2 linked regions of the Xenopus tropicalis genome follow. The protein of the gene in region 2 binds, or shares a complex with, the protein of the main gene of each other region. Links are inferred from orthologs where the notes say so. Each region holds a gene or a part of one and is shown on either strand. Other genes may lie near its edges. The genes, in order: fzd8 and lrp5.

The links.
Region 1: lrp5 (region 2) and fzd8 share a complex: the UniProt entries of both Homo sapiens proteins name them as parts of the wnt-signaling complex. The link is inferred for Xenopus tropicalis from reciprocal best matches to the Homo sapiens genes LRP5 and FZD8.

What each region holds. Positions count from the first base shown.
Region 1 is NC_030682.2:21,476,875-21,493,640, reverse strand, and holds fzd8 (frizzled-8 precursor), read right to left. Parts: upstream 10,301-16,766; 5' UTR 9,939-10,300; coding exon 8,196-9,938; 3' UTR 7,179-8,195; downstream 1-7,178. UniProt on the Homo sapiens protein: Receptor for Wnt proteins. Component of the Wnt-Fzd-LRP5-LRP6 complex that triggers beta-catenin signaling through inducing aggregation of receptor-ligand complexes into ribosome-sized signalosomes.
Region 2 is NC_030680.2:37,156,552-37,172,685, reverse strand, and holds part of lrp5 (low-density lipoprotein receptor-related protein 5), read left to right. Parts: intron 1-2,983; coding exon 2,984-3,200; intron 3,201-4,219; coding exon 4,220-4,509; intron 4,510-6,848; coding exon 6,849-7,075; intron 7,076-8,110; coding exon 8,111-8,295; intron 8,296-13,327; coding exon 13,328-13,651; intron 13,652-16,134. UniProt on the Homo sapiens protein: Acts as a coreceptor with members of the frizzled family of seven-transmembrane spanning receptors to transduce signal by Wnt proteins.

The sequences.
Region 1 (16,766 bases), on a different chromosome or scaffold from region 2:
AGTGATCAGGATTGATGAGAAGCCAATAGTCCAGCACAAGATAAAACTCTGCCTCTTTCTCTGGGCTTCCAAAACTTGTCTCCAAGCCAGAAATACAAAAATGGCACCTACTTTGAGGCCACTGGGAGCAACATCCCAGGGGTTGGTGAGCAACATGTTGCTCACAAACCACTTGTTGGGGATCACTGATATAATGGAATGGCATATGTACCTCTGTTTAGAAACATTCCCATGAGCATATAATAATTTAATTTACAGTGAAATAAAACCTTTCTTTCTTTCTTTCTTTCTCCCTTTTTCATTTTTCTATACGGCGCAGTTTTGGAATTGCCACTAGGTGGCAGTACAGTTTCAACTCTGTCAAATGATTGCAACTTTAAATTCTCTTCCAGAGCCCTGTAATTAACCTTTCCCATTAGAAATAGCAACACATACTGTAGGGCGGTACAACAGGCACTGTGTGTGTGTTCTCTGATACTATTGCCCATTTGAATGTTTGCTCTCAGGCTGGAATGATAGAATTAAATTTTGGCTAAAGAGATGAATGCTAATACAGCCACCCCCTGGCACAGCGGTTGGAGGGGACACGCAGGAGATAACCTTTCCCAGTATAAAGCTGATCAGCCTGTTGCACAACAGAGACCTTTCTGTATTGATTCCCATTGTGGAAAGCACATTTCTTCATTCTTCAGTCAAGGCAAAATTATTGATAAGTTACTCTTTTTTTTGCATTTTCTGCTCTAATCTGATTTATTTTTGCTTCCATTCCTACAAATCAGCAGTAAAGCCACAAAGAAATGTCAGGTTTGGCGACAGAGTCTGCTCCTCTCTAACATTTCCCAATCCACCTTGACCTTTGCAAATTGTGTTTGGAAAGGTGCCGAGCTTTACACAATCCTTTACTTACCCTTGAAATAGCAGACAATGTTTCACTGAATGATTTTCCTATAATACCCTATGGCTGCTGGGGTGGCATGGGGGGCAGTGTTGGACTGGCCCACCAAGATACCAGGAAAACTCCCGGTGGGCCCAGGTGTCAGTGGGCCCTCCTGCTCCTGACTATTTGGTCTGTTTCATGGTCATTGCCTATTTCTGATTGGGAAGGAAGAGTATAAATAGATGGAAGAATAGATGCTAGCATGTAAATACAAGAGACTAGGAGAATAAAGAGGTTGGGCGAGGAAAGGAGAAAAAATAGTTTGGAGAGTGGGCTTAGGGTCTAAGGTTTTCTGGTGGGGCCCTGGGGTCCCAGTCCGACACTGATAGGGGGCCCAGGGAGTGGCCCTTAGAGTGGCCCTAAAATGATCTTGCTGTGGGGCCAAATACCTTCTAGCTGTGCCAGGGAAATACTTCTCTTCAGTGAATCCGGCCTGTGCCTTTATTTGGACGCGGCGTATCCAGCCCTGTGAATATGTAGAAGCCATGGAATATCTCAAAGCACTGAGGAAACCTCTCCAGCTCTGCTAATATTGGTTTAATACAATGTGCCCCTGAATGGGCTGACATTCCTCAATCACAATTAGGTGAATATAAAGAGAAAAAGAAACCCCCAGTGTTGTGTTGTAAGAATTCCGCAGAGACTAATTCTCCCTGAGCCCATTCATTACCAAGATAACGGCGCCCAGATAAACTCACTATACAAGTCGCCTTATCAGCAGTTTAAACATTTACTCTGTGAGGACAGTTTAATATTTACTAAAAGTCTATCCTTCTTTCTTGGGCAAGTGCTGGGGCTGCAGATAGGAACGGCTGCCTGTGTGCGACTTTCCAGGCTCAGCTCATTCTCACTATGGTTCTCTATGGCAGGTGCTACACTGATACAGACTTACTGCTGCCCCACATTGTGCCCCTGTATTAAGATACTTACCTTCCCAGTGTGTAATGCACAGGCCATTTTGTAGGATTGAAGAAATGTTTTTAGCTCAGCTTAACTTCAGCTATTCACAATGGGGTTGCTCAGTAACCACTAGGCAAACACTAAGTCTAAAAGGAACAGTGTGTCTGGGATTATCTAAAACTATGAAAAAAAAACTGTGTTGCAATGGACCTGACCCCCACAGCCGACTCTTATCCATCTCTCCCTACTATACCTGCTATCCCTCAGCCCCAGTCCCTTCCCAGAGGCTATTATCCCCCCACTGCTACTATAGGCACCATCTCTCCCTACTATACCTGCTATCCCACAGCCCCAGTCCCTTCCCAGAGGCTATTATCCCCCCACTGCTACTATAGGCACCATCTCTCCCTACTATACCTGCTATCCCACAGCCCCAGTCCCTTCACAGAGGCTATTATCCCCCCACTGCTACTATAGGCACCATCTCTCCCTACTATACCTGCTATCCCACAGCCACAGTCCCTTCCCAGAGGCTATTATCCCCCCACTGCTACTATAGGCACCATCTCTCCCTACTATACCTGCTATCCCTCAGCCCCAGTCCCTTCCCAGAGGCTATTATCCCCCCACTGCTACTATAGGCACCATCTCTCTCTACTATACCTGCTATCCCACAGCCCCAGTCCCGTCCCAGAGGCTATTATCCCCCCACTGCTACTATAGGCACCATCTCTCCCTACTATACCTGCTATCCCACAGCCACAGTCCCTTCCCAGAGGCTATTATCCCACTGCTACTATAGGCACCATCTCTCCCTACTATACCTACTATCCCACAGCCACAGTCCCTTCCCAGAGGCTATTATCCCCCCACTGCTACTATAGGCACCATCTCTCCCTACTATACCTGCTATCCCTCAGCCCCAGTCCCTTCCCAGAGGCTATTATCCCCCCACTGCTACTATAGGCACCATCTCTCCCTACTATACCTGCTATCCCACAGCCACAGTCCCTTCCCAGAGGCTATTATCCCACTGCTACTATAGGCACCATCTCTCCCTACTATACCTGCTATCCCACAGCCCCAGTCCCTTCCCAGAGGCTATTATCCCACTGCTACTATAGGCACCATCTCTCCCTACTATACCTGCTATCCCACAGCCACAGTCCCTTCCCAGAGGCTATTATCCCCCCACTGCTACTATAGGCACCATCTCTCCCTACTATACCTGCTATCCCACAGCCCCAGTCCCTTCCCAGAGGCTATTATCCCCCCACTGCTACTATAGGCACCATCTCTCCCTACTATACCTGCTATCCCACAGCCACAGTCCCTTCCCAGAGGCTATTATCCCCCCACTGCTACTATAGGCGCCATCTCTCCCTACTATACCTGCTATCCCACAGCCCCAGTCCCTTCCCAGAGACTATTATCCCCCCACTGCTACTATAGGCGCCATCTCTCCCTACTATACCTGCTATCCCACAGCCCCAGTCCCTTCCCAGAGACTATTATCCCCCCACTGCTACTATAGGCACCATCTCTCCCTACTATACCTGCTATCCCACAGCCCCAGTCCCTTCCCAGAGGCTATTATCCCACTGCTACTATAGGCACCATCTCTCCCTACTATACCTGCTATCCCACAGCCACAGTCCCTTCCCAGAGGCTATTATCCCCCCACTGCTACTATAGGCACCATCTCTCCCTACTATACCTGCTATCCCACAGCCACAGTCCCTTCCCAGAGGCTATTATCCCCCCACTGCTACTATAGGCACCATCTCTCCCTACTATACCTGCTATCCCACAGCCCCAGTCCCTTCCCAGAGGCTATTATCCCACTGCTACTATAGGCACCATCTCTCCCTACTATACCTGCTATCCCACAGCCCCAGTCCCTTCCCAGAGGCTATTATCCCACTGCTACTATAGGCACCATCTCTCCCTACTATACCTGCTATCCCACAGCCCCAGTCCCTTCCCAGAGGCTATTATCCCACTGCTACTATAGGCACCATCTCTCCCTACTATACCTGCTATCCCACAACCACAGTCCCTTCCCAGAGGCTATTATCCCCCCACTGCTACTATAGGCACCATCTCTCCCTACTATACCTGCTATCCCACAGCCCCAGTCCCTTCCCAGAGGCTATTATCCCCCCACTGCTACTATAGGCACCATCTCTCCCTACTATACCTGCTATCCCACAGCCCCAGTCCCTTCCCAGAGGCTATTATTGCCAAATATCTTAACTTCGCCCCATGACTCTATGTAGATACTGCTCAATGGTATAAAATGATTTCTTGCCACACTCCATTGCCAACTACAACTCCCTGCCTCCCGCCCAAAGCAAAATGTACGGTGCAAGCTGGGAACTTGGATTCACAACAAGGTACAAAACATAGTGGGAGATGTTGAGCACAGCTGGAATCCCACAGGCTTGACAACCCCCCATATGGTATATAAACAATAAATATTCAGTGCAATTCAAGTGGCTTTTAAGGAGGCGCGCTGATGTCTCTTAACCATAACAACCATCAACACATATGGTTTTAAAAGCAATTATTTTTTCAGCGCGCAGGTAATTAATGATTGCACTCCTCACTTCCTGCTTAGGGGGTCACAGGAAAACAAAAGCAGAAAATGAAGAGTGCAACGGACAAATGCCCCCCCGCCCCCCAGCTTTAAATGGAACACCGATCTCTTTATTAGAAGAACAACTTGCAGTTCATTATTGAGTCCCCCTTAATGAATAATAAAACAGCAGAGTCCCTTTGGCACAATGTGGCGGTGTCACAACCTTTGGGCCTGGGTGTCATGGCGGCTCTGGGGTCTGGAGGGGACACGACTAAACTAAACAAATAGCAATCCCAGCAGTGAGAGAGAGTGCAAACCCTGCCAGCCCCGATGATGGATGTCATTAGGCGAGGAGCTGCCATTCCTGATGCAGACTGACAGGCTAATAAGAGTCCTAAGGGCATATATGCACTCAAGGCGCACATCCTCCTATCCATTATTCCTAATTCTTCACAAAAAAAAACACTAGCGATAAGTATCAGGAATGGGAAACATGCTGGATCCCCCCCCCCGAACAGAAACCTTCTTAACAAAATCTGCTCCAATAATAGCCAGGGAATTGCTTCAATTAGGGAGAAAAAGCAGGAGAGAGGAGAATTTTTGTAATGATATTGTCTGGCCAAAAAAAAAGAAAAAGGGGGAAAACTTCAAATTGGGGGATTATGTGAGCAGACCACCTGTAGTGCATTCTTGCTGCCTTTTCTTCCCTCCCAGCTTATGTCCTGCTGCCTGCCGTCTGCCTAACAATGTGGAAGAAGCTTTCTTTTATACGACCGTCCTCCATCCCTTCCCTGCCGGCCCTCACTAACTGTTACAATTCTCCTCCGGATGCCAAAAAAAACATAAAGTGCCCCAATGTCTTTCATTGAAAGATTCGAGGCTCTGCGGTGGCCCAATTGCTCCTCGGCACAAAGGGGAGGGACCCGGGGACACAAAAACTCCATGTTTTGGAGATCAAAGTTTGTAGGACTCAAAGGACGGGAGTTCCCTACAGATTAACCCCATTCATTTGGTGCCTCACTTATTGGAGGGGCCACGTCCTCAACCACTAGGGACAGGTATAGGGTTCATCTTCTTTTACTAATCAGCAGCCCCCCCACTCCAATAAATGAGCCTACACTTTATAGGGGCCCCAGGTATTCTTTCCCCTGCATGCCTCATAGGGAATGATACGTTACCACTCTTAAAGGAACAGTGAACACAAAAATAGATAGATAAATAGATAGATAACTAAAATATAAGTTGCTTGTAGATAGATAGATGAGATAGATGGTAGATAAAATGAGAGGTTACAACTGTTAAAGGCACATTGAAAATATAAGTTTCTTATTGGTAGATAGATAGACAGATGATATGAGAGATAAATAGATAATAGAGGGACATTGAACACTAAAATATAAGCTACTATCTATTCATAGATAAATGATAGACAGAGGATAGATAATATGAGAGTTTACCACTTTTAAAGGGACATTGAACAGTAAAATATAAGTTGCTCATTCATACATAGATAGCTAGATAGATGATAGATAGATGATAGATAGCTAGATAGATGATAGAAGTAGATATAAGATAGACAGATAGATAGATAGAAGATAGATAGATGATAGATAGATGATAGATATATATATATATAGATGATAGAGGTAGATATAAGATAGACAGATAGATAGATAATAGATAGATGATAGATAGATAGATAGATAGATATATATATAGATAGATATATATATAGATAGATGATAGATAGATGATAGATAGATGATAGATATATATATATATAGATGATAGAGGTAGATATAAGATAGACAGATAGATAGATAATAGATAGATGATAGATAGATAGATAGATAGATAGATAGATAGATAGATATATATATAGATAGATGATAGATAGATGATAGATAGATGATAGATAGGGAAGCAGTGGGAAACATATTTTCATGTTAACATTTTCAAAATATAATGGACCTTTTCATAGGTGAAACTACAAGGAAAAAACAAGACTTTTGCTCTCCCCACTTCCTGTTGTTTCCTGTCAGGGATAATGAGAAGTGCAAGAGACAATATCTTCCCCCAGCCTGATGAAATTAAAGGAACAGTAACACCAAAATATGAAAGCTTTTAAAGTCATTCAAATATAATGTTCTATTGCCCTGCGACAGGTTTGCTTTAGGAACTCAACTATAGTTTATATAAATGTATAAACAGGTTCCATAGCATATAACACCATTGTATTCTACAGAGCTTATGCGTTATCTGCTATGTAACCTGTATCTTTTCTACTTTTTTCAGCTGGAATAGCTGCCTCTGTGTCTATACATCAGGGTATTTATATAAACTATAGTAGGGTTACATTAACAAGCATGCAACTTTTAAGGCTAGTGTTGCCTACCCTGTATTCTCAGGGGACCCTGGCAGGGGAAGCTTTGAGACCTGAAACACTGGTTTTGAATTAATTCTGCACCTTATTGTAATTGCCCTAATGCTGCAGGGCGTTTCACCATAAACAGCAAGACCCAAGTTTAGGTGCCGACCCACAGGCTACAAATGAATATGGAGCCAGCTCCGTGCATATACAGCTAATGCTACCCCAACCCATGCCATTCCCTAGCTTGTAAACACTTAAGATATTGGGCCCTGGGAAGGGGAGGGTTAAAACAAAAGTGTCCCCAAAGTCCTAGTGACAATAACACTGAATACAAACCATATTTATATGAACGATAGGAAACAGTTAAGCAGAAAAAAGCAGCGGAAATGTCATTTATATAAAAAATGGTCATTTTTATTGACAAAATAGAATACTCCAATATTTGCTCTTATTGAGAAGCCTCTATCCTTTATACAAAAGAAATGTACAGAGCATCATAGCTTTGTGCCTATGTACAGTATATTACACATTTTACAAGACAAATAATTATATAAATACATCCTATTATGGAAGAAACCCGTATTTAATTGGGGTACTGCTTCTTAATTAAGACATTTTATTCCATTTTTAAGGCAATAGTTTAGTTTTAGGAAGAAAAAAAAAAAAAAGCCAGGGCTGTCCAACCAGGGATGCTGGGAGTTGTAGTTAAAACAGGCTTGGTGGTTAATTCATAGAACCCCGTACCCTGCTGTTAAGACTCCCGCTATGCCAAGAAGAAATAAACATTATTCAGGCACAGTTGGCGGCACAAGTAGGGCTCACCCATGGGACTGGGGGGGGGGGGGGGGAAATGGCTGAGGACACAGCTAAATGTGATACGGAACCAGAATGACCCACAGCAGCAGCAGCAGCACAGATAGTTATTGCCTCTTTCCTTGTAGCCAAGGGGGCAATCCCGGCCCCTGCTTAGCTATAATTATCGCCTTCACAAATGCTCCTTGCATATAAATGGGAGAAATCAGGGAGGCTTCAATACCAGGTACATTGTCCGGACCAGTCATTCAAGTCCCTGCTAATGGATACCATTAAGAGTTCATTATCATGCTAATAGCAAGAATCTAAAGGGGGGGGGGGGCAAGTTGGGCGACGTTGGTCAGTCTTAATAAGTCTCAGGTCTGTCCCTCCCCCGCACCCCCCAGTATCTAGGTGTAAGGTCCATCCTGCAACCTTCCAGCTGTTGTGGAACTTCAACTCCCAGCAGCACTAAGTGGACACTGCTGGAAGTTGTCGCTCAGCAAGAGCTGAATGGGCCACAGGTTGGGCGCTGCCCAGGTAAGGGGACAAGAGTGTTAAGTTAAAACAGAACAATTTGCAAACCTCGCCTTAAGTCCACGTTAAACCTCCGTCTAGACCTGAGATAAGGGCATTTGTTTTGGGTAGGACACTGAGCTGCCAGTCCCAGATCTCCATGTCAGCCCGGTGCTAACGTCACTGTACATAGAGCCTCCAGTCGCTTTGCTGCCCCAACAGCAGCGGGTACAGAACGCCCTCCACGACTCCAAAGTCTTGCCCGACCAGATCCACACACCAGAGGTGATGCCAACCACTAGGCACATAAAGTACTTGAGCATGAAAACGGCATAGTCTGGTCGGCGGGGCTGTGCCACCTCTGGCTGGCACGAGTTACAGTTATGTGCCACCTCCCAACCCTGCCGGTTGTGCTGTTCATAGAAAAAACATGCCACCACGATGGTGGCCGGCACCGTGTACAAAACGCTGAATATCCCTATCCGGATCATGAGTTTCTCCAGTTTGTCAGTCTTGGTGCCCCCTTGTTTAATGACACTCCGGATCCTAAATAGGGAGACAAAGCCGGCCAGGAGGAACATGCTGCCAATGAACAGGTAGATGACCAACGGTGCCAACACAAATCCCCGCAAGTTGTCCAGGTTCTGATTGCCCACAAAGCAAATGCCAGCCACCGGGTCCCCATCCACTGAGCTGAGGGCCAGCACAGCAATAGATTTGATGCTGGGCACCAACCAGGCGGCCAGGTGGAAATACTGTGAGTAGCCAGCTATGGCTTCGTTGCCCCATTTCATGCCAGCGGCCAGGAACCAGGTGAGAGATAGAATGACCCACCAGATGGAGCTGGCCATGCCAAAGAAGTAAATCAGCAGGAAGACCAGGGTGCACAGCGCTGGCCCAGTGGTTTCATAGTGGATAATATGTTCCAGGTCCAACTCGCCACGGCTACAAGCCACCTTCTCATGGCCAGCAATCAGCCGGACCAGGTAGCCAGCCGAGACCAGGAGGTAGCAGGCAGAGAGGAAGATGATGGGGCGCTCTGGGTACTTGAATCGCTCCATGTCGATAAGGAAAGTAGATACAGTGGCAAATGTGGAGGCGAAACAAAGCACCGACCAGAGGCCGATCCAGAACTCGGTGAAGGTTCTCTCCTCCGGGCTGAAGTAGGGGTTGTGGCACGGCATGGCACAGTTCGGGATCTGCCCGGTCCGGACCCGGTTGTACAGGGGGTGCCTCTCGTTGGTTACCGGCACCATAGGGGCCCGACACTGGCAGCCCGGTTCGCACCCTGGTGCCCGGGGCCGGGGCCTTGGGGGCTCCACACGGGTCCTGCCCTTAGGTGCCGACCTGGCCGGGGGCTTGGGGGGCTCTGGGTGGCTGGGCGCCGCCGTGGTCTGCTCCGTTCGGTTGTAGTAGTCCATACACAGGGTGTCGGGGTTGCCCTGCTCGGGCAGACGATCACATCGCATGCGATCCGGCCAGGCGAACCCATACTGACGCATGAGGGGGGCACAGCCGGCCCGGGCCCGCTCACACACGCTCCGGCAGGGGGGCAGCGGCTTCTTGTAGTCCTCCAGGCAGATGGGGGTGTACATGCTGCACAGGAAGAACTTCAGGTCCGGGGAGCAGTGAATGACCACCAGCGGCCAGAACTGGTGCACCTCCATGCCCGCCTCGTCCTGCGTGTCGTGGTTGAACTGGTTGGGCATGTAGGTGTAGTTGTAGCCGATATCCTTGCACAGGGGCACGGTGATCTCTTGGCAGGACAGCTCCTTAGCGGCGGCGCATTGCGATCCCTGCAGCCAGGACACGGCCAGCAGCAGCAGGTACAGGCACTCCATGCTGCACGGCTCCACTCACAGCTGCGGGGGTCACTGCCGGGGGCTCATCCCCTCAACTCGCCGGCAAGTTCAGCGGGAAGGAACCAGTCCCAGTCGGAAGGGTTGTAAATCCACAGTGACAGCTTCCCTCGGCTTCTCACTGATGGGGCTACTAGCCCGGAGTGGCAATAAATCTATATTCCGGCACCTGGATGAATGTGCGCTTGTGAGCTGAGCGCTTGTGGCTGAGCGCTTGTGAGCTGTGCGCTACTGGCTGAGCGCTTGTGGGCTGTGCGCTACTGGCTGAGCGCTTGTGGGCTGTGCGCTACTGGCTGAGCGTTTGTGGGCTGTGCGCTTCTCTACAGGCGCCGCTCCCTTCCTTCCCTCTCTCTGCGCTCACTGGCGGCTCCCAATGAATATTTATACCGGGAGCGGTCAGATCCCACCCCCCCATCCCAATCCACTAATCCCCCCCGGAGAGAGGTGGGGCTGCTGCCTGAAGCAATCAACCTTACTAAAGGTGGTCTCAGCGTGTTTATTAGCGGCCCATTGTTATGCAGAGCCAAGGGATGTACCTTATTATAGAGAGCACACATCATTAGCCTGATGTATTTACTGAATGTGCAGCAGCCTAATAATCAGCAGCCTGAGAGACTGTCCCCATTCAGCCTGTGCCCCCCACTAGCTCCCTGGGAAATTCAATCAGGTGTCTGGGGGCCTCTCTTATACTGAATATAGTACTAAATATAGGGTATCATGTAAAATTAGCAGTCAGAACAATCATATCAATAAGTGCTGGTTTAATATTATTACAATAAATATGAATTATTAATTATTACAATTCCCCCTCATTAATATATATAATACATATATTGTATAGAATCCGAGAACTGCCTTTTGGGGGGAAAACTGGGGAGACTTGCCCTTGCTCTGCTTGCCTTGTTGCTTAGTGATGTCATCCATTATAGTCACTGGTTAGTGATGTCACATGGCTCCTGGGTTGGACTGGGCTCCCCATCACTAATTGTCTGTGGGTGCAAGTCCCCCCCTCCATCCCTGATCATGTCCATAAAGAGTGGGGTGGGGAGTCCCTGAGGTGGCAGCCCTGGGGGTCCCTGCACACTCCATGGCTCATTGCAAAGTTGGTTGGAACTAGGGGTAGGCAGAAGAGGCGCCATTAAGGTGGGGTGCGTGGTAGGGATTAATGGGTGAGAGCAAAGGGGAGCAAGAGGACCTGAAAGGTGAAAATGATGTGTGGAGTAAAGGGGGGACACATGAAACGGGGGGGGGGGGGGTGTACGTGCGCCAATAAAACTTCACCTGCTTCAGGTTTGTGTTATAAGGCTAATGTCACACTTAGGGGCAGATTTATCCAAATGTGAGCGTAATACATAAACCCACGTTCTATTCATTTCTATGGGATTTTTAGAAGCATAATTATCACTGGGTGAAAGTTAGAACTCCCCATTTGTTAAATTTGCTTCTAAAAATCCCATAAGAATAAACAGAACATGGGTGAGTTTTTATGTATTAAGCTCTAAACTCACATTTTGCTAAATCTGCCCCCAAGTGTGACATTAGCCCTAATGATGGGAATACAAGCAGAATGTTTACAAACCATACCTATATTTATATACATGGGAGCCATAATGCTCTAGGCAAGATTTGGCTTGAAATCAGACTGAATTGGGTACAATTTGGTTGTTATATGTTCTCTGCTCTGCTGGTTCTGACTCCTGAAACGATGTGGTAGAAGACAGTGACTATTGCTGTTTCAAGATTCAGAACCAGGAGTGAGTGCAGAGAACATATGCTGGGGGTGCTGGGATGTGTAGTTCAGCAGCAGCGCCACACTCACATTTATGAACTAAATACTTGCTCCTCCTTTAAGAACACCCATGCGTTTTTCCACCCAAGGGACGTATGCCACAATATGTGTTTATTTATGGCAAATGAGATGACGGCGCTGTAGACAGATAGTCTGGGAGCTCAGGAAATTGATACGCTATAGAGCATGCAAACAAGCAGCGCAGCCCACGAGTGAGTGAAATCCAAAGGAAAAATAGGAGGCTCGGCTATTGTGTCGGAACGTAACATGTTAAAACAGTTACTGAGTATCTTAGTTACTGAGAAAAACCCAGAGCTTAAGGAGGCTTCCCCCTTGCTACACAGTGGAGGGATGTTTAGCTGTTCTAACCGTGAGCTTACAATCTAATTGTATATATATATACCCACTAAGGATAAAGGAATGGTATCCTGGTCCTCCAAGCAGCCAATGTATTATTTTCTGTACATAAAAACCATGAAAATCCTTTATACACTGTTCCAAGTGTTCTAACTGCTAGGGTGAAGACACACAGAGATACTAGAAGCAGCTCTTTTCCGTGGCTAATAAAATAGACAATGCTGATCATTTACTGATAATCTATGTGTTTTCGCAGAGGCAATTCTCAGTATTGTCTATGGCAGAGTATTTTCTAGAGTCTAGTAGCTGTGAAGAAGTAGCTGCTACTAGTAGCTTAGTGTGTCTTCATCCTTAATGGTGAAGACACATGGAGCTACTTAGTAACAGCTACTTGTCACAGCTACTAAACGCCAGAAAATCCCCTGCCATAGACAATACTGAGAATTGCCTCTGCTAAACCACACATAGGGACAGTTATCAGTATTGTCTTTTTTAGTATCCGTGACAAGTAGCTGCTACTAGAAGCTCTGTGTGTCTTCACCCTAAAGTGCAACAGCAACTCAAGGGCTACGGGTTGAACATCAGTGCAATAACAGTTGTTATACAATATAACATATTTTCTAGGTTTTCTCATGAGTGACCCCTGTGGTGCTGAGGGCCTAGAGCCAATGTAATTCCCTAAAACCTGCCCTGGGTCGGTACCAGTAAACAACTGTGGCCAATTCACCCTCGCAGTGCCGTGCAGGGGTAAAACCTCGGAGTGCACCACACAATATGTATATGTTTATTCCTACAGTCCTGTTTGTATACACAACATTGTGACTACACGAAGGAACCCGCTTGCATGCACCCATTTACACATTTTCTTTGATAAATAATCCCTCATTTATTAATAAATACACCCATCTTTGTCTCCCTTTATGTGACTCCGTGCCCATGGCCCTGTATGGGCACATCTGAGAATATTCACTCCCCAGAATAAACAGTTCCACCCCTCACCTGAATCCCCCGGGATTGTCACCAACTCACATGAGCCCCAAACATATGCTAATGGAGTGAAAACAAGGCTGCAATGTACGCAATGTGTATTAGCCCACATTATAACATCACAATATATATTGCTCTCAATACACCACTTCCACCTATTCTATTGTGAGATAAAACATCCAAACATCTAGACGTTCCCCTTTACCAATCATATTGCTCTCAGATAGTACATGCGTACATAGTACATACCATTTACAGTGTGATACATTAGCTGGGGGCACCTGCTGGTGAGAAATGCCAGCGACTACTCCATAATATTGTAACAAGAGAGTTGTGGAACAGACATACTGAGCTGCTCCTGGGGAAGGGCACTTGGGTTTAATTAATTGAAAATATGTGAAAAAATGAATAACTGTGGTCTATTTTTGAAAGCAATACATTTTCATGAAGAGGAGGTGGCTCTATAAAAATAAACTTGGTATAAAGGCCTATATGAAGCACATATACTGTATATATATATAAAGTCATTAATATAGAGCAGGTTTATAAAGGAGTAAATCACAGGAAAAAACCCAATGCCTGTGGTTTCTGGAAACAGCTGGAATTGTAACCTAAGCCCTTAGTTAGTGAAAGTGCACGGCCAGAGAGGCATCTGAAATACACCCTGGCAGGAAGTATACAATAAAAAGAGGGAATAAAAAATAGTCCTTTCCGTGCAATGAAAAAAAAGCACTAAAATATATTCTGCTCATAAAATATTTTTTAATCCAATATGCTGCCTTCGTGGTGTTGCCGAACTGCAACCCATAGTAACAAAAGTGTGTGTGCATCTCAGTGTATATACAGTGTCGGCCTGGGGGGACCAGGGCCCACCAGTGCTGCCACCTCAGGGGCCCCCCTGTCCCAGTTGTGAGGTCCTTCACATGTAATACCTGACGTAGCAACCCCTTCCCTCCCCCACTCATGAGTGGAGGGGCGGGTTGGGGGGACACCCATAGTTTCAGTTGGGAAGAGTCTGTGGGGCCCATGGTGTTTTTTCCAGGTGTCTGGCCAGCCCAGTCCAATCCTGCCTACAAATTTCAAATATGTTGATTTTATTAAGTTACAGGCTAGCGATCCCCAAATCGTGGGGCTGTCCTAGTGTGGGGGGCCCAGAATAGATATTCATGGAAGCAGATAACAGCAACCCTTGGATATATCAGTCATCAGTCATGGGGTGCTCAAAGGTGGGGCTCGACCTCAGTCTGACAAACACTGAGCTAAGGTCTTCACATTTTTTGGGGGTGCAGATAAACCAGGGTGATGTTATGGTTACTTTATGTTTGTTACTGGTACTACTCATTGCAGCAGAGGTGTCTAATGCTATCACTGAGATTATCCCCCGTGTAATCATTAAACTAATCAATCAGCCGCCAGCAGATAAGCTTAGGGGCAGTGGTAAATAAATCTCTCACACCAAGGTCAGCCCGAAATCCCTGCAGCTGCTAATAGGTTATGATGACAAGTTACTGCACCCCACAACAAAATGTTTCTATGGTGCCAAGGCCGTGTATAGGAAAAAAAATATATATACACATTGCAGGGGCCCATGAGCCTTTGATACTAGTGGGCCCCAGAAGCCACTATGAATGCTGCTCCTCTTGGCTCTCTCTGGTATCCCCCTCTGATACAAAACTGCGGGCAAAGCACCCTAAGAAAAATTTCCTAATCCCCTGTTGTGCTCATTCACTAAGCACTATGCACCTTGCACCCTTAAAATCTGCTACCCAAGACAGTCCTTCAATTACCACCTGGCATAGGGCAGTAAGAACAAACCTCCTTTGCACCCACCAGCACCCTGCATATTATTATTATTAACAATTATTTATAAAACGCCAATATATTCCGCAGCCTTGTACAATAAGTGGGTTTCATACATTGGACATACAGAGTAACATATAAAGCAATCAATAACCGATACAAGAGGTGAAGGGGGCCCTGCCCAAAAGAGCTTACAATCTACAAATATGCTGGCAGAGCCCACCCCTTGTTAATAGAGTGTTGACGAACACAGGCAGTGCTGTAATCATCTTGAAAAAACTGTCCCGGCGGGTGATGAAGGTGAGACACGGTGCAAAGTGTCATAAAAACACAGCTTGCACTTGGGTCAGACTGGTGCTGCTACTGCAGGGCCCCCCCACACAAACTTTTTTTTTGCCACAATCCGGGAAGGGAGGGCAGTGGGGGAGTGACAGGGAAGACAGATATCGATTTTGGGTAAGTGGGGCCCACTAGATTTTTTTACTGGTGTCCCTCTGGCCCAGTCCAACACAGGCATGCACCTGTTTATTGCACTTTGCCCCCTAGCCTGCCGTTCCATGAACCCCTCTGTTTTTTTGCACTTTGCACCTTGCCCAGTGGGTCGTGCCAGAATGTTCAGCTCTTTGCCCTTCCTAGAATGGAACCCAAAGAGGTGCACCTTACTCAAAAACACAGAGGCATAAGTGGTATATTGTGTGAGATTGCATGGCATTCAGACGCACCAGCTAGGGAATGCCAGGGGCTGCAAGGTGCAGGATAGCCACACACTTAATGCTAGCCAGTACCAAGCTGCACAGACTGTGGCCCCAGTGCAGCCGCAGACCCCCCCACATTTACCACTCTCTATAGTTAAGGAATTGATTGCTTATAGAAACACATCAACAGTTAGCACTTCATCCTGCAGGCAAGCTTGTAGTTCTGCCGTGTCAGAAATTCCATTAACACACAAGTGTCCAATTAGTCTTAGCACCTAAAAACAAAGAAAGCAAACGAATGACATGATTATGTATTTCTGCCAATCAGCCCTTTCCATCTATCCTGCTGATGGCCCCCTTTGCATATAATGAAGCAATTAGGCTTTGTTTATACAAGCGATTTGGCCGGTCAGAATTTTCTGGACTGAAAAGCTCATGTCAAAAAAAAAAAAATCTGGTTTGGATGAATACAGAGGCATAGCTGGAGGTTTAGCGCAGCTACTGGTATCGCCTGCCTTGGGGATGTGCCACCTGCGCTCCGCCAGATGTTGCTCCGATACAGAAATGGGCTTCATTGGCTGCGTTCAGGCTGCTGCTGAGCCTCAATTCCCAGGATTCCCAGCCAGACAAGCTGCTGCTCAGAGAATCACATTTACTATTGATTTGGACAATATTATAAGGAAGCCTCAAAACTAGCTAAAATGTCTGTATATAAGCATGTTTGTAATTTATAAATCCACCAGTAATTATGTCATAGTCAGCGTATCAATGCCAAGTGCATGCTCTCGGTAATTAGGGAGACTTCTCTTTGTCTGGACTTATAATGGGGCTCAGTAACAGCAGCTGGAGTGAGAAATAGGGAACCCCATAAGCACCTTGTGACTGTGAGAATTGTAGGGTTTTTAGTGATGTCTAAACACTAAAAATTCATTTGTTTAACTGCATATCCCACTGCCCTGTGTCCTCTGAAGGCCAAGCAGACCGGTAGTGCTGGGGTCCAGTAAAATGCCAGTGCCCATGGATTGGCTACATGAGGTTGCAATGTGCAATGTGTCATTGTAGACGCACTTCGCCATGCCTTTTACCCACAATGCAGCATTTACCCGTAACCCATATGGCACTTATGCCCTGTGTATTTATACATATTTATTATAACACTTGTCCTGCCTGTGTGTAATTTTG
Region 2 (16,134 bases):
CAAAAAGTAAAATAATTCCAAAAAAAAAAAAAGACCAGTTGCAAATTATCTCAGAATATTGCTCTCTACATCATTAAAAAAGTTATGTCAAAGCTGAACAACCCCTTTAAATAGGCCTGTGCTGCTACAGCACACAAAATATAGAGGAACAGGCTTTGTGAGAGGGCATGAGGGAAGGTCTGATCAAGTATTAATGTGCCCTATGTGAATTGGCTGAATACAGTTCTGTTACAAAGTATCTTTTTTTCCACCCATATTTTATAGGTCCAAATGCGTTTGGAGTATTTCTGAGCTATTGTATCACTGCTGTGTGCCATCCACTTTGCATGTCTCACATATGGAAATCATTGTATAACAGATATTTCAGCAGCTGTGTCGGCTGCCATGAACCACAGCGTTATTGTACGACAGGAAAAAAATCTCTAATGCTGGTTTTGCTGCAATTATGTAAATAAGCCACAAACATAACCACCCTCTCGATGTTTAACTTTAGCTCCCCCAGTCCTTTCCCTGGCGATATCTGTATTTGATTGCTTCACCTTCATGTTTCTTAGCAGCAGTTACCTTTGCAGTCTCCAAGTCACTGCTACACCAATGGGATTGGCAGCATTACTTGGTGAGCAGTTATTTGGCCAATAAGGAGGGTCTTCAAAACGGAATAAAAATTGCATAGCACCCCTCCTTAACCACTGTGTGCTATGGAATAATAACAAGCTATCACTACCAAGTCATGGTAATCAAATCCTGGGAATAACTACCAGCAGCTTTAGACTGTATGCTGTTGGAGGCTTTTGGAGTTGTCTTTTGCCAGCAAGTCCCCAAAAAAGGACTCTTACACTGTCACACACATGCTGGTTTGCTGGCCACCTGGACTCCATCAAGAGATCTAGTTAAAAGATCACAGTAGATCACAGTTAAAATAGTGTGATGTCTATCATTTAGCGCAATAAGCAAGAAAAAATAACAAATACACATAGCAATATATAACTGCAGTGCCATATTCACATTTAATGCCCATATAACATTATTCAAATGCCAACTTCAAGTTTAATGTGAAAGGATTGTAGTAGTGTCCCTTCTTCATGGCCCACTTTGTAGGCTGCACACAGAAACATATATAAAGTGGGAACAAATGTATACAGTGGCCCGGTGGGGACAATCTTCTATACTGGGATGAAACTACAAAGACGGATGGCTTGAGCAGCCACACTCAAAAGCTCCAGTATGCTCGGGGGGGAAAAGTGGCGGGATGTCATCCCACTGTATTCCACCTTGAGGTCTACCCATGGGCACCCATGGTTTACAGGAACTTATACAACTTATACAGTTGGGGTTAATGTAGAAAAGGTGCATAAGCACTATCTGAACTTCCAGATATAAATATAAATTTATTTTTTTCTGTGCAACGCACAAACAGTGTTTTACACCTTTTCTATATAATCACAACTGAATGAGCCCATGTCATAAAGGGGAGTATATCTATCTATTTTTTACTTTTATTACTTCATCATTTGTTGTAGAGTGGTACCAGCAGATTAAATGAGGGTGTCTGCATTTCTGAGAGATGTTGAATTTAAAAGGTGTTGCAGGGTCATCCATCTGCTTGTTTATTAAAGCAGCACTTACCTCTGCAGCTTCTCACAAGGTTCTAAGGCAGTCACAGTCGCGCTGAATTCCCTGAAAGTAATTGCAATTAAAACAATTCTGTTATTTCTATGAAATTAAAGCACACATTAAATGCAATTTAGATACTTAATAGGTAGTGCATGTGTTTTTCCAAGCTAAAACCTTCTTTGTTAACAGGCCCCTTTAAATTCTTTATTAGGACAGTTATGGATTCTGTACAGAAAGTTGCCAGACTAATAAACAAGTCAAGTCTTAAGCAGGACAGTTTAAAAGAGGCACGCAATGCTTCAAATAGACCTGGAAAAACAAAACATTTGGTGCAAAGCTTGGCAGATTGGCAGCTTCTTCAGTCTCGGTCAGCTGCTAAGAATTTGGAATCTCAATTATGGCTCATATAATAATAACAAAAAAACAGAATACAACACTTAGGAATGGTGCTGGCATGCGACTTTTTGAATACAAGCATATACCAGGTTCCTAGCAAAATCTCTGTTTTAGTAAAACAGTTCCTTCATTTTATAGGCATATTTTTGATATTCAGTCCCAGTAGGAGTATAAGGACATATTTCATGTATGATTTACAAGAGGTATTAGGAATGTAATAACTGGTGCACACTTTGCTCCAGGCAGGGGCTTAACTAAACTTGACCTATTCCACCAAGATATATTGAAATTTCTCTATAATTAGGGCCTTACTTGGCTACCTACAGTCCTGGGCCCCTGCAACTGTAGGGTCTGCTTCCTCTATAGTTATGCCCCAGGTCTAGTAATGCATATTAACCAATCATCAGGTTGCATTTAGTCTGCTAATGCAAATAGAAGAATTAAAGCAAACATCTGGTTGAGTTACAGACCTGGACCAAGCTTTGCATCTGTTAATAGATAACCTCTTTAAGGAGTTTTCTGGAACTGCACTCAAGCATATGTGATGTTTACTAAGGTATTATTAAATGGGATATTCACCCAAATAATGACAAATAGTTTTTCTGTGAACAGTTTGAAATGCAATTTGTATTAAAAGCTGAATATATCTACAATCATGTAACATATGCAATTAATGTATAGAGGCTGCTTCTTTAAATTGTTTGTGTCTAACTAGTATTAGAGCTAGTTGTCACATTGAGCTCAGTATCTTTGTCTGAAACAACTTAACATATTTCAGAGATGCCTTAAATAGAAAGATAATTAATTAATAAAAAGTAACAATTACAAAATGAATTAATTTGTTTTCCATTAAATAAAGAGTAAATAGCTTGTTAAGTGTACCCAACCTTCTAACCTGCTCAAACTTCTTATTCTCAAAAGTTATATTTTCCATTTCAGCATCTCATTTATTTTTCTCTTTACTGTACTGAAGGTTATCAACGTTGATGGAAGCAATCGGAAAACTCTCTTGGAAGACAAACTTCCACATATATTTGGCTTTACGTTGCTGGGAGATTACATCTATTGGACAGACTGGCAGAGACGAAGCATTGAGAGAGTTCACAAAGTCAGAGCAAGTAGAGAAATTATTATTGACCAACTCCCAGATCTAATGGGTCTAAAAGCAGCAAGTGTCTCAAATACATTTGGTATGTATTGTTACCTATACACAATGATCATTTAACATAATAGAAGCTGAACAGTATATAAAGTATATATATACTTTTTATATAACAGTGTATAGTCTTAAAGGGGTTGTTCACCTTTGGATTAACTTTTAGTGTGATGTAGACATTGATATTCTGAGACACTTTGCAGTTAATCTGCATTTTTTTATGGGTTTTTACCAGCTACACAGTTTGATATTTTAAAATCTGGTTGCTAGGGTTTTATTTACCCTAGCAACCAGGCAATGGTTTGAACAAGAGATGGGAATATGAATAGGAGGCCTGCATAGGAAGATAAATAATAAAAAGTAACTAGTAATCAATAAAAAGTAACAATAAAATTGCAGCTGGGGTCAGTGACCCCCACTTTAAATTTGAAAATATGTAAAAGAGAAAGGCAAATTATTTGATTCCAATAACTATAAAATAATAGATAATTAAAACCAAGTTGCTATGAATAGGGCATCCTATAACATTCTAAAAATTAACTTAAAGGTGAGCCACTCCTTTAAGTCAAAAAGAAAAAGCTTTAGAAAGTATATATAATATGAAAAACAATAATACTGATGCCACCCAATCAGTTGTATTTTAATTCCTGATGGTCAGTGACTCTGGCAACCAGCATTTTCAGTTGCAGGCTAGCCGAGGCCCAATAGGAAATCTATTGCTTACAATAAGTTCATTTATAACATACTTAAAATGAATTTGAATGTCTTATTTAAGGCAACAGCCCAGTACATACTAAAAGTAGTAGTATTTGTAGCTAAGATTGCCTGGGAGTGGCATAAGATGATGGTATATATCCTGTTCCCACCACAAGTTTCCAATAAAAGCGTTATATATATTTCTTAAAATCCTTATACTCTGACACCTGCAGATAAAGGCTAATGTATCAGACATAATTGCAGAACCCCCAGCTATGACATTGTATGTTGTTGCATTTGAATCAGATTGTCTTTTGGGCCGAAACTCTGTGTAAATGCTTGCTTATTTATTTATAGGTACCAATCCCTGCGCTGACAATAATGGAGGCTGCAGCCACTTATGCTTCTTTTCTCCCCGGGGAGTACGATGTTCCTGCCCCATAGGACTGGAGTTACTTAGCGACATGAGGACTTGCATTATTCCTGAAGCTTTCTTGGTTTTTACCAGCAGAGCAACTATCCATAGGATTTCCTTGGAAACAAACAACAATGATGTGGCCATTCCTCTCACAGGAGTCAAAGAGGCATCTGCTCTTGATTTTGACGTATCTGATAACAGATTGTACTGGACTGATATCACCTTGAAGGTACAACTAGCTGCAAGTTTTACTTATCGGCTTGATAACAGTTGAACATATTATGTCCAACTTTACCAGCTAAACTTAGGAAAAATACATTGTGCACCAATGGGGTTAATAATCCATGTATTAGGTATATTTAAACTATTTCACTATTGTCAGCCAACTGATAGTTCCTGTTTATGGCCTGTTTCAAAGTAGAACTTTCATCCTTCCTAACAGAAGTAGCCATGAAGTAGTGCAGAAAACCTTTTCCAGGCTGGTCTTCTTAAGCTCCCCCTACTTCTGTGCTTTTGGCCAAGCTTCTTGTTGTGGCAGACAGGTCTTATTTAACAGAGGCTTAAAAGTCAAATCTAAAGCTCTGGGAACTAACATGGGGCACGTCTTAACTTTCCCTGGGCTGATGTGCCTTCGTGCTAATACAGCTGCCATAAAACAACGGTTGAACTTCTCTAGCACAACAGATTTGTTGTTATTCTCTTCAGAACATATAAATGCTACTTTGTATATTCTGTATATTCTTATTCAGCTAATTATATGGGAATTGTTTCAGGTCCTTGGTTTCCAAACTACCTTCTGGATGAAACTATTTTCATAAGTCTCACTGCCGAAGACCAAAAATTTTGTGATAACTTTGACATATTTTTCATATCTGCTTAGTCTTAACGATAGGTGCCAAGGATTCAGACTGGAGCATAGTGTCTCATTCTTTCCCATCATGGGAATCTTTAAAACCTTCAAGCAACACTAGTCATCAGTCAAAATAGAAGAAGGGTGTTTTATTTACAGCCCATTACCTATGGCTGTAGGACCGTGAAAGGTCCAAAGACCTCAAGGAAGCAGAAGAGTTTCTACAGATGCTTTCCATTCCATGGAAATCTACATTTGGATTGAATTCCATTTTTCTGACCCTTATAGAATCTCATAATGTTTAAATAATCTACCCAGTCATTAAGCTTGGAGGCAATAGAAACTGAATCACCGGGTATTTTCTCGGATTTTCTCAGCATAGCTAGCATACAGTGAACTTAATGAAGATGCAGAATTCAAGACGTAATGGTTATGGAATCCGCTTCAGAATTGTGGATATTTACCTTGGCTTTCATCAACTTTTCCAAAAGATCAAGAATTTCACATGAATCACGGACTTTTATTTTGGAACCTCAATAAACTACTAAACATAATGAGGGGTACATTTAATCAACCATATCTTGGTGCACAGTTGCTTCTTGTTTAAATAATTCTCTCTCTGTGTGTGTTGAAGTCAGTCTTCTACTTCTGAGCAGATCAATCTATTAGCATGGGTCTGAATTTGCACATGATGAGTTTTCACATGATGCAGTGTTAAAACTCATAATTGTGGGTGAGCCACCAAGCATACTTGCATTGCAATCAGTGGTTTGTTCTGCAACCGTTAGGGTGAAGACACAATGGGCTACTAGTAGCAGCTACTTTTTCAAGGCTACTAAACTCCAAAAAATACCCTCCCATAGACAATACTGAGCATTGCCTCTGCTAAAACACACATAGAGACAATTATCAGTAAATGATCAGCATTATCTGGTTTAGTAGCCACGACAAGTAGCTGCTACTAGAAGCTTTGTGTGTCTTCAACCTTAGACTTAGGCCTGGGAATGAGAATGGATAAAGAATAGTAAAGGTCTAGGCAAAAATAAAAATTAAAACTAAGAATAACAATAACATTGACTCTCTAGCAAGTTCATTTGTTTTTGCTGGTTACTTAGGGTCAGTGGCCCCTGATAACCAGATAGAATTTTAGGTGCAGGCTGGAATTTGGCAGAAGAGGATGGCTAATAATTGTTAAACCATGCATAATAAATTCTGAAGACCATTTGGAAATTTCCTTAGAATAGGTCCTACAATAAGGTGACGTGAATATCCCCTTTTTCTAAAATCATATTGTTTTAATTCCTTTGTGTCAAGTCTTAAAGCCCTCCGCTTGTGGTCTGGGAGAGTTCCAAATACATTCCTAAGATCTAGATAATCTACATCCACAACTCCACCCTTTATTTAGCCTGTCATCAAACTCAGTTAAAATAGTCTGGCGCTAAATCAATTCTTTTTGGACCCCACTTTATTTTTGAATAATTTTCCACTAAAACAAATGGGGAAAGTTGTGTGTGTTTATTCATATTTATGGTATCTTGCAATATTTATTCCTTTGGAAAAAACATTAAATAAAACAAAATCCACAGTCTGCTGAGTGGCCTTTTGTGAAAAACAGTAAAAGGGTGTATACAACCTACAATTGGTCGAAATATCTGTTTCTTAGCTATATTTCCTCCTCTTTTACTTTCTAATAATCATATCTATTTTTTGTTTTGCAGACAATAAGTAGGGCATTTATGAATGGAAGCTCCGTAGAACATGTTATTGAGTTTGGCCTGGATTACCCAGAAGGTATGGCAGTTGATTGGATGGGCAAAAACCTTTATTGGTCAGATACTGGAACTAATCGTATTGAAGTTTCACGTCTGGATGGTCTGTATCGTCAGGTTTTGGTCTGGAAAGATTTAGATAACCCTAGATCCCTGGCTTTGGATCCAGCAAAAGGGTAAGCAGTGAAATCCTACCTTCCCCTCAAAAGACTGTATTCAAGAGTATATTAAATATAGATGTGTACATTAAAGCACTCCACATAATCTCACACAGGGTTTTGTTTATAAAGCCATAGCACAAGCACTACATTAGGTGTTCCTAATCTGTGTGATTATCCCCCCTGGGAGGAGAACCTGGGGGCCCAGCCTGGAGTACAGTTATAGCAAAAAATGGGAAGAATGCTTATTTTCTCTATTAAATGCTCTTAAAAGCCCAGTCTGCAGGTCAGTTAAGGTGAGCTATTGGGTTGGCGTCATGTTTCCTATGTTAGACTTGTACTGAGCCTAAAAACAAGTTATTCAGTAGTGAACTGTAATTCTAAACTTCTGCAATTCTGCTTGCCTGGATAAGTGAATTGTCTGATTATCTGGAGAAATATAGTAATGTCACTACCTTATTTCTTTGCCCCTGCGTGAGGCAGAAAGGGGCACAGAACCAAAGTACCCATAACTCTTCACCCCAGGTATTAACCATGGATTATTGTGTTGCTGTATGTCTGTCAATCCTCATGCAATTGTACCCTATTATTATTATCACATATTGATAAAGTGCCAACATGTTCGGCACAGCTGTGCAATAGATGGGTGTATACATCACATATTTACATCCGAAAATAGAACCAATAACCAATACAAGAGGTAAAAAGGGCCATGCTCCCTGGAGCTTGCAGTCCAAAAGTTCTCTGTATGTGTATGTTTTGCCTCCTTATTGAAAGCAAAACAATCCTGTTGGGTTTAATTACTGTTTAAATAATTTTATTAACAGACTTAAGGTAGGAGATCTGAATTACAGAAAGACTCCTTATCCGGAAAACCCCAGGTCCTGAGCATTCTGGATAACTGGTCCCATACCTGTACTCTTTTGGTTCCTTGTTTTAGGTTTCATTATTCTCTAGGCATTGCATATTTACAGTTTGATTGTTTTCTATATGACTCTTTGCTTTCTTTATAAATAATATATTCACATGTGTGGGTTTTGGGGTATTTTCTAGCTACATGTACTGGACAGAATGGGGAGGAAAACCAAGAATAGTAAGAGCCTACATGGATGGGACCAACAGCATCATTTTGGTTGATAAAGTGGGTCGAGCCAATGACTTAACCATTGACTACGCCGATCAAAGACTGTATTGGACTGACCTGGATACAAACATGATTGAATCTTCAAACATGCTAGGTAATTAAGGTGGCAACTACAACAGGGATGCCAAGAACAAATTTAAAGGCTGCATTTGTCATCATTTGCAGTTTTTGTTCTATGAGCTACCTGGTTTCTATGGGTCACTAGAATTGGAGCAAGCTTTACAGCCTTTATTTCACCAACCCTTGTGTGTTATTGTATCAATATGACCAATATGAAAGGTTTTGTTTCTAAACCATTCATGTGTATGATTGAAAAAATGCCAGGCAACAACGTCACTTTATGCTTATTTGTTCCCACTTAAATTACAGTATTTCAAGAATTCTGTCTAGCAACTTTCAGTGAAAATTTAAGTTAAAGGAGAAGGAAAGGTAAAAACTAAGCTTTATCAGAAAGGTCTATGTAAATACAGCCATAAGCACTCACAGAATCACTGCACTGAGTCCTCTATCAAAATAAACAGTATTTCTTGTCTCCTTTTTTGGGAACATGTTCTTCAGTATCAGACTTCCTCTCTTTTAGGGCCTTTTAAACCTTCAGGTTTAGTGCACAAGTCTGCTCAGTTCTCTCCCCTTCCCTTCTCCTGCTCCCCCCCTCCCATAAGAATGCATAAGAACTCACTTCCCCACCCTTAGGAATGTGTGATCTGAGCTTCCAGCGGCTATAACTGTGGCAGGAAGCTACCAAGACCAAGCTAAAATGGCAGCTGTTATCAGAGGGAGCTTTTAGTGCTCTTTACACTGGTATAGTAAAGCTTTCTGCTGAATAAATATAGAATTCTAGGTGGCATAACGTTTAGCTGCCATTGGCTTGATATGCTCCTTCATGCTAGTAGCCATACAATTTTTTTAAGAAGAGGGGATATATGTGTTTTATGCATTAACGTCCCCATGCACAATAAATAGTTGCAATAAAGAAAACTACAGAAGGATAGAAACTTAACCTTGAAAAGTTGTAAAGCACATATACAATAAATAGTTGCAATAAAGAACCTACAGAAGGAAACAGAATCTTGAAAAGTTGTAAAGCAGACTGGGGGTGGTGGGACTGAGCAGAATACCAGCTGTTGTCTTGTACAGTTTTCTAATTCCAGGTTTCAGCGGCTGCCTGAGAATATTATGACTTCATACATCTTAAATTCATTCTTTAAAAATAGCTGAGCTTGTAACTCTTCCACTGCCAGTAAGACCTACAGTTTCTTTTATTTGGTGAGGGACCCTGCAAAACCTATTGGCTGTAAAGAATTCATGTTCTTTAGTGTAGGGGTCCCCAACCGCCGGTCCGCAGACCAGTACCGGGCCACAGGCTTCTTTCTAGTGTGCCGCCTCTGTTACCGGCCGCGGTAAAAATGCAAAGTAAACGAAGCGCCACCTGAATAGTACGCATATAAAAGCACCGCGCCGATCAATGCAGGGCGCATGTAGAGGCGCGTAGGAAAATGGCGAACGTAGGAATACACAGATGAACATGCGAATGAACGCATCGGGCGTATAAACCCCCCCCCCCCCCCCCCCCCTCCGGTCCGTGGAAAATTTTCACACTTGACACCGGTCCTTGGAGCGAAAAAGGTTGGGGACCACTGCTTTAGTGGAACAAAGTGCATGCTCTACATTGTAGATCCTTCAAAAAAATTACCATCATGGATGACATTCTTAACTAAATGTGGTCAGATTTTCATTCAAAGGTCATTGTAGCTCTTTCTTGTTGGGCCAGTTTCGTTTACCTTGGACATGAATGTTGAAGCAGCATATGTAATAATAATTAACTTGGATTCAAAAACAAAACTTTTTTTTTTCTTCTACTTCAAAACCCTGGTCGACTGTGAAAGGCAATTGGTAGGCAGGGGACTCTGCGCCTGCTGGTCATAAACACAGAATGGGTCCCTGTGTGACTTGACTAGGGTCTCCACGATCCCTTTCAGTGCAGTGAAATTTCTACCTACAATTGTAATTAGTATTTAGGATCAGTGGCGTAAATGATAAAGTATCAGCTTTGTTGCCCAGTATACTGTTTACTAAGATCCTCTAAATTACTATTGCCATTGTCATCTTGCAGCCACCGGGAAAAATTCAATTGGGAATTCAAAGCCTCCCCCATTTGGTCAGCACAGCTGGTTTGCCAAACCGATCTGTTTCAAGAGGATGTAGGTGGCATTACAATACTGTGGTGCAGCCTATAGTAAGAAACATTCCCCTAACACCATCGACAGGTTTGCCTCCCAAAACATTCTTAAGCCAACCCCACCCATCCAAACAGTGCATTGGGTTCCCTTTGAAAACAGGCGAACAAATGTCTATTAAGAGCAGCAATCCTGCCTACTTGAAACAGAAGCCAAATGTGGTTTATGGCATATACCGTTTAGTGCATGCTTTGTGGTCGAAATGTCAGATATACTCAGTATTACTGCAACATGTAATGTGCATTGTGTAATGTAATAAGTATTACTGCTATGCTTTGGGACCTATGGTGTTTAAAGGAGAAGGAAAGGCTAGTAAAGAGTTAATCTCAAGCTGCAGGCATACCTTCAGTTGTCTCAATAGTGCCCTTAAGTCTCCTATATTTCACTTGTTCAGATGATCAGAAGCCAAACAGGAACAAAAAAACGCTGAGCTGTGTATTAGAAAGTTCCCATAATGCCGCACTCCTGCACAGACACCCAGACCCCTGTACATGCTCAGTTAGTTAGACCATGTGTCAGCTTCCTGCTGATTAGCTCAGATCCACATTCCTAAGGGGGGGGCGGGGAGTGAGTTCTTAGCATTCTTGGGGGAGGGGGTAGCAGGAGAGAGCAGAAAACAGAAAGCTGCGTGTCTCTGGCACAGGAATTACAGACACAAGAAATCATTTTATAGAGAAGTCAGTGCAGCATTTCTGTGAGTGCTTATGGCTGTATTTGCATAGACCTTTCTGATAAAGCTTGCTTAGTTTTACTTTCTTTCTCCTTTAAGGTGAGTTCCTATGATATCTCTGTACAGGGTCACTGTAAGAAAAAAGGGGCCCAACACACACCAAAACTTTGTTGGTGTGTGCTGGACCCCCCCTTTTTTTTCTTAGTGACCATGATGTGACGTGGCCAAACATATGGGAGTCACACCACCACAACTGTAACCGAGAATTTGAATTGTAGGTGAGCTCCTCAGTTGACTTTTCCACTCTATACCGGGGCTACTTTAAGCCACAGGTAGGTTTCAGAGCAAAGTTTCCAAAGTTGTGCCCCCCCCCCCCAAACGAATGAATGCACTTCTGCATCAGTATTCTTTTTAATAGATCCAAAGTACAGTGCCTGTGAGTGCAGACATAGGACTGAGCAGAGGCCAGTGGATTAAATGATTCTCGGCCTATCAGTAAAAATTGGTTCACATTTTTTTGTTTTACATGACTACTACTGTATATACTCGAGTATAAGCCTAGTTTTTCAGCACCCAAAATGTGCTAAAAAAGTCACCCTCGGCTTATACTCGAGTCGGATGCAATGAGTCCCTCCAGACTAGCACCCTCTGTTTTTTGTGTGCAAATTAGCCCACCCGAAAAGTAAGCTTTTCAGAAAGGTCTATTTAAATACAGCCATAAGCACTTACAGAAACGCTGCACTGAGCCCTCTATCATAAGAAACAGGATTTGTCGTCTCTTTGTTTTCCTGTGCCAGAGACATGCAGCTCTCTCCCCTCTTCCTCATAGACTTACACACTGAGCATGTACACTGGTCTGGGTCTTGGTGCAGGAGTGAGGCATTATGGGAACTATCTTTACACAGCTCAGCATTTTTTTTCCTATGAGGCTTCTGATCATCTGAACGGGAGAAATATGGGGAGACTTAAGGGCACTATTGAGACAACTGAATGTATGCCTGCAGCTTGAGATTAACCCTTAATTAGCCTTTCCTTCTCCTTTAAAGATTAAAAGGATATGAGGCTGGTTATTTCTGGGGCATGCTTAATTAAAATATTATTTCAGATGATATGACTGGGGGTAATAACTTGTCACCCCTTCATTTACTAGATCGCAATGTTTATTTTAAGAAATACCACTTCTATCACTCTCTGCTCCATCTTTATTTAGCCATCATTGTTAACATGGTCCTGTTTGACCTCCCCACCTGCTGACCTTGCGTGTAGCAGTTTCTTGTGCGCTGTTCTGGATAACAGCAGCGTGTGAGCAGGATTGCCAGCGCTGAATTTGATTGTAGGGCACCCAGAGAGGGAGGGCTGAGCTGGGGTAATGTATACAAGCGATCCTGCTCGCAATAAAGAAAGCATGCACACAAAGATGATTGTCTGCTCACGCGCCTACTGGGAAAGCTGTGATGTGCGCATGCGTTTGGTCTGATGCATTGTGGGGATTGTTTTCTATACTAAGCGGTTTGACTGAAAGAGGCAGACTATAACTGAGTATTAAGGTATGCCTTTCCATAGACCCATTATTGGGTTTAGAGTTTCCTTGTCTTTTAAAATACTCAGCACTCTTAAACTAGTACTGCTACAACGACCACCGTATGGACCTGTAACTTAAGGTCCCCATACACGGGCAGATAGTAGCTGCCGATATCGGTCCCTTGGACCTATTCGGCAGCTTATCTGCCCGTGTAGGGGCAGAACCAAGGGGCCTGGCCGACCGATATCTGGCCTGAAATTGGCCAGATATCGATCGGCCAGGTTAGAAAATCCAGTCGGATCAGGGGCCGCATCGGCTCGTTGATGTGGTCCCCGAACTGACTGCCCCATTGCAGCGTTTAGAATTCGATTGTTTGGCCCCAGGGCCAAACGATCGAATTCGCCTACATGCCCCCCGATATCGCCCACCCATAGGTGGGGATATTGGGTGAAGATCCGCTCGCTTGGTGACATCGCCAAGTGAGCGGATCTTATAGTGTATGGGGACCTTTACAAAGGTTTTTCATTTTTGGCTTCAGAATCAGATAATTAGTGGCCTTCACAGAAGCAATATATTTATTATTGGTTTAGAGACAATATGTGCAGGAAAGCCTTTTTTTTCATTGTTCCGCTTTGATGCTCATCATTTGTTTTGTAAGGGCTTTTTGGCATTTACCTGTGCTTGTGTTATTTCCCAGGAGCGGAACGAGTGATTATTGCAGATGACCTTCCTCATCCCTTTGGACTAACGCAATACAGCGACTATATCTATTGGACAGACTGGAATCTCCACAGCATAGAAAGAGCAGACAAGTTAAATGGCAACAACCGCACTTTGATACAAGATCACTTAGATTTTGTGATGGATATCTTGGTCTTTCACTCTTCCAGGCAGGATGGTTTAAATGACTGCATGCAGAATAATGGGCACTGCAGTCAGCTCTGCTTGGCTGTGCCAAAGGGATACAAGTGTAGCTGCTCCTCTCACTATACACTTGACTCAAACAACAGGAATTGCAGCCGTAAGTTCTAACTGCATTTGTAAATATGCTAAATGACAACTTTTTATTTCAGGCGGTTCAAGAACCCACTAGGAATGACTCTATTTTGGACCTGGTGATTTCTAATAATAATGAACTTATCTCTTACATTTGTGTGGGTGAGCATTTGGGGAACAGTGATCACAACATGGTCTCCTTTGAGATAATGCTGCAGAGACAACTCTATAAGGGAGTAACTAAAACGCTCAATTTTAGACGTGCAGACTTTGCCAGTATAAGGGCATCTCTGCAATGTGTCAACTGGGAAAGGCTTTTCATGGGGTTAGACACAGAAGGAAAATGGAACATCTTTAAAACATTGCTTTGTAGGTATACACAACAGTATATCCCCCTTGTAAGCAAGGAGAGGCATCGCAAAGCAAAACCTTTATGGCTGAATAAAAGTGTTATTGTCGAGGTTGGTAAGAAAAAAACGTGCTTTTAGGGCATTCAAATTAGCTGGGACAGCAGAAACTTTCATCAGGTACAAGGACGCAAATAAAGCATGCAAAAAAGCTATCAAGCAAGCTAAAATAGAAATGGAAAGGAATATATTGCAGCTAGGAGTAAAAAGAATCCTAAATTATTTTTTAATTATGTGAATAGTAAAAAGATGAAGCAAGAAGGGGTGGGAACTTTATTATCATGGGGGGGGTAAGTTGGTTGATGTGAATGGGGAAAAAGCTGAAATTTTGAACTCTTATTTTTTATCTGTCTATACATCTGAGGAGCCAGAAAATGAAGGCTTCCCTTGTAATATGCCCAGTTCTAGTAATTTAGCTACTGACGCGTGGGTCACTCGGGAGGAAATTCAAAAGAGACTTGAACATGTAAAGGTAAACAAAGGTCCAGGGCCGGATGGGATTCATCCCAGGGTATTAAATGACCTGAGCGCTGTGATTGCCAAACCTCTTCACTTAATTTTTCAGGATTCATTGAGGTCTGGCATGGTGCCGAGAGACTGGCGGATTGCTAATGTGGTGCCGTTATTTAAAAAGGGATCCCGTTCTCAACCTGAAAACTATAGGCCTGTTAGTCTGACATCAGTAGTAGGAAAACTTTTGGAAGGGGTAATAAGGGATAGGGTACTTGAATACATTGCAGTTCACAATACTATTAGTTTGTGCCAGCATGGTTTTATGCGTAACAGATCTTGCCAGACTAATTTAGTTGCCTTTTATGAGGAGGTGAGCAGGAACCTTGATGCTGGAATGGCAGTTGATGTCATCTACTTGGACTTTGCTAAAGCGTTTGATACAGTACCTCACAGAAGGTTAATGATCAAATTAAGGAATATTGGCCTAGAACATAATATTTGTAATTGGATAGAGAACTGGCTGAAGGATAGATTACAAAGAGTGGTGGTAAATGGAACATTTTCTAATTGGACCAGTGTGGTTAGTGGAGTACCGCAGGGGTCAGTCCTTGGTCCTTTGCTTTTTAACTTGTTTATTAATGACCTGGAGGTGGGCATAGACAGTACTGTTTCTATTTTTGCTGATGACACAAAATTGTGCAAAACTATAAGTTCCATGCAGGATGCTGCCGCTTTGCAGAGCGATTTGACAAAATTAGATAACTGGGCAGCAAACTGGAAAATGAGGTTCAATGTTGATAAGTGCAAAGTTATGCACTTTGGTAGAAATAATATAAACGCAAACTATCTACTGAATGGTAGTGTGTTGGGGGTATCCTTACTGGAGAAGGATCTAGGGGTTTTTGTTGATAACAAGTTGTCTAATTCCAGGCAGTGTCATTCTGTGGCTACTAAAGCAAATAAAGTGCTGTCTTGTATAAAAAAAGGGCATTGACTCAAGGGATGAGAACATAATTTTGCCCCTTTATAGGTCCCTGGTAAGGCCTCACCTTGAGTATGCAGTGCAGTTTTGGGCTCCAGTCCTTAAGAAGGATATTAATGAGCTGGAGAGAGTGCAGAGACGTGCAACTAATCTGGTAAAGGGGATGGAAGGGTTAAACTATGAGGTGAGACTGTCGAGGTTGTTTTCTCTGGAAAAGAGGCGCTTGCGAGGGGACATGATTACTCTGTACAAGTACATTAGAGGGGATTATAGGCAGTTGGGGGATGTTCTTTTTTCCCATAAAAACAATCAGCGCACCAGAGGTCACCCCTTTAGATTAGAGGAACGGAGCTTCCATTTGAAGCAGCGTAGGGGGTTTTTCACAGTGAGGGCAGTGAGGTTGTGGAATGCCCTTCCTAGTGATGTGGTAATGGCAGACTCTGTTAATGCCTTTAAGAGGGGCCTGGATGAGTTCTTGATCAATCAGAATATCCAAGGCTATTGTGATACTAATATCTACAGTTAGTACTAGTGGTTGTATTTCAGAAAATTGAATATATAAACGCTCAGCCTTACTGCTCACACGGCACGATGCGTCAATCCCCAATAGCCCACCGCTTGGCTTTTTTGGAATATCACAAGAAAAGAGGAGAGCACCTTCACGCA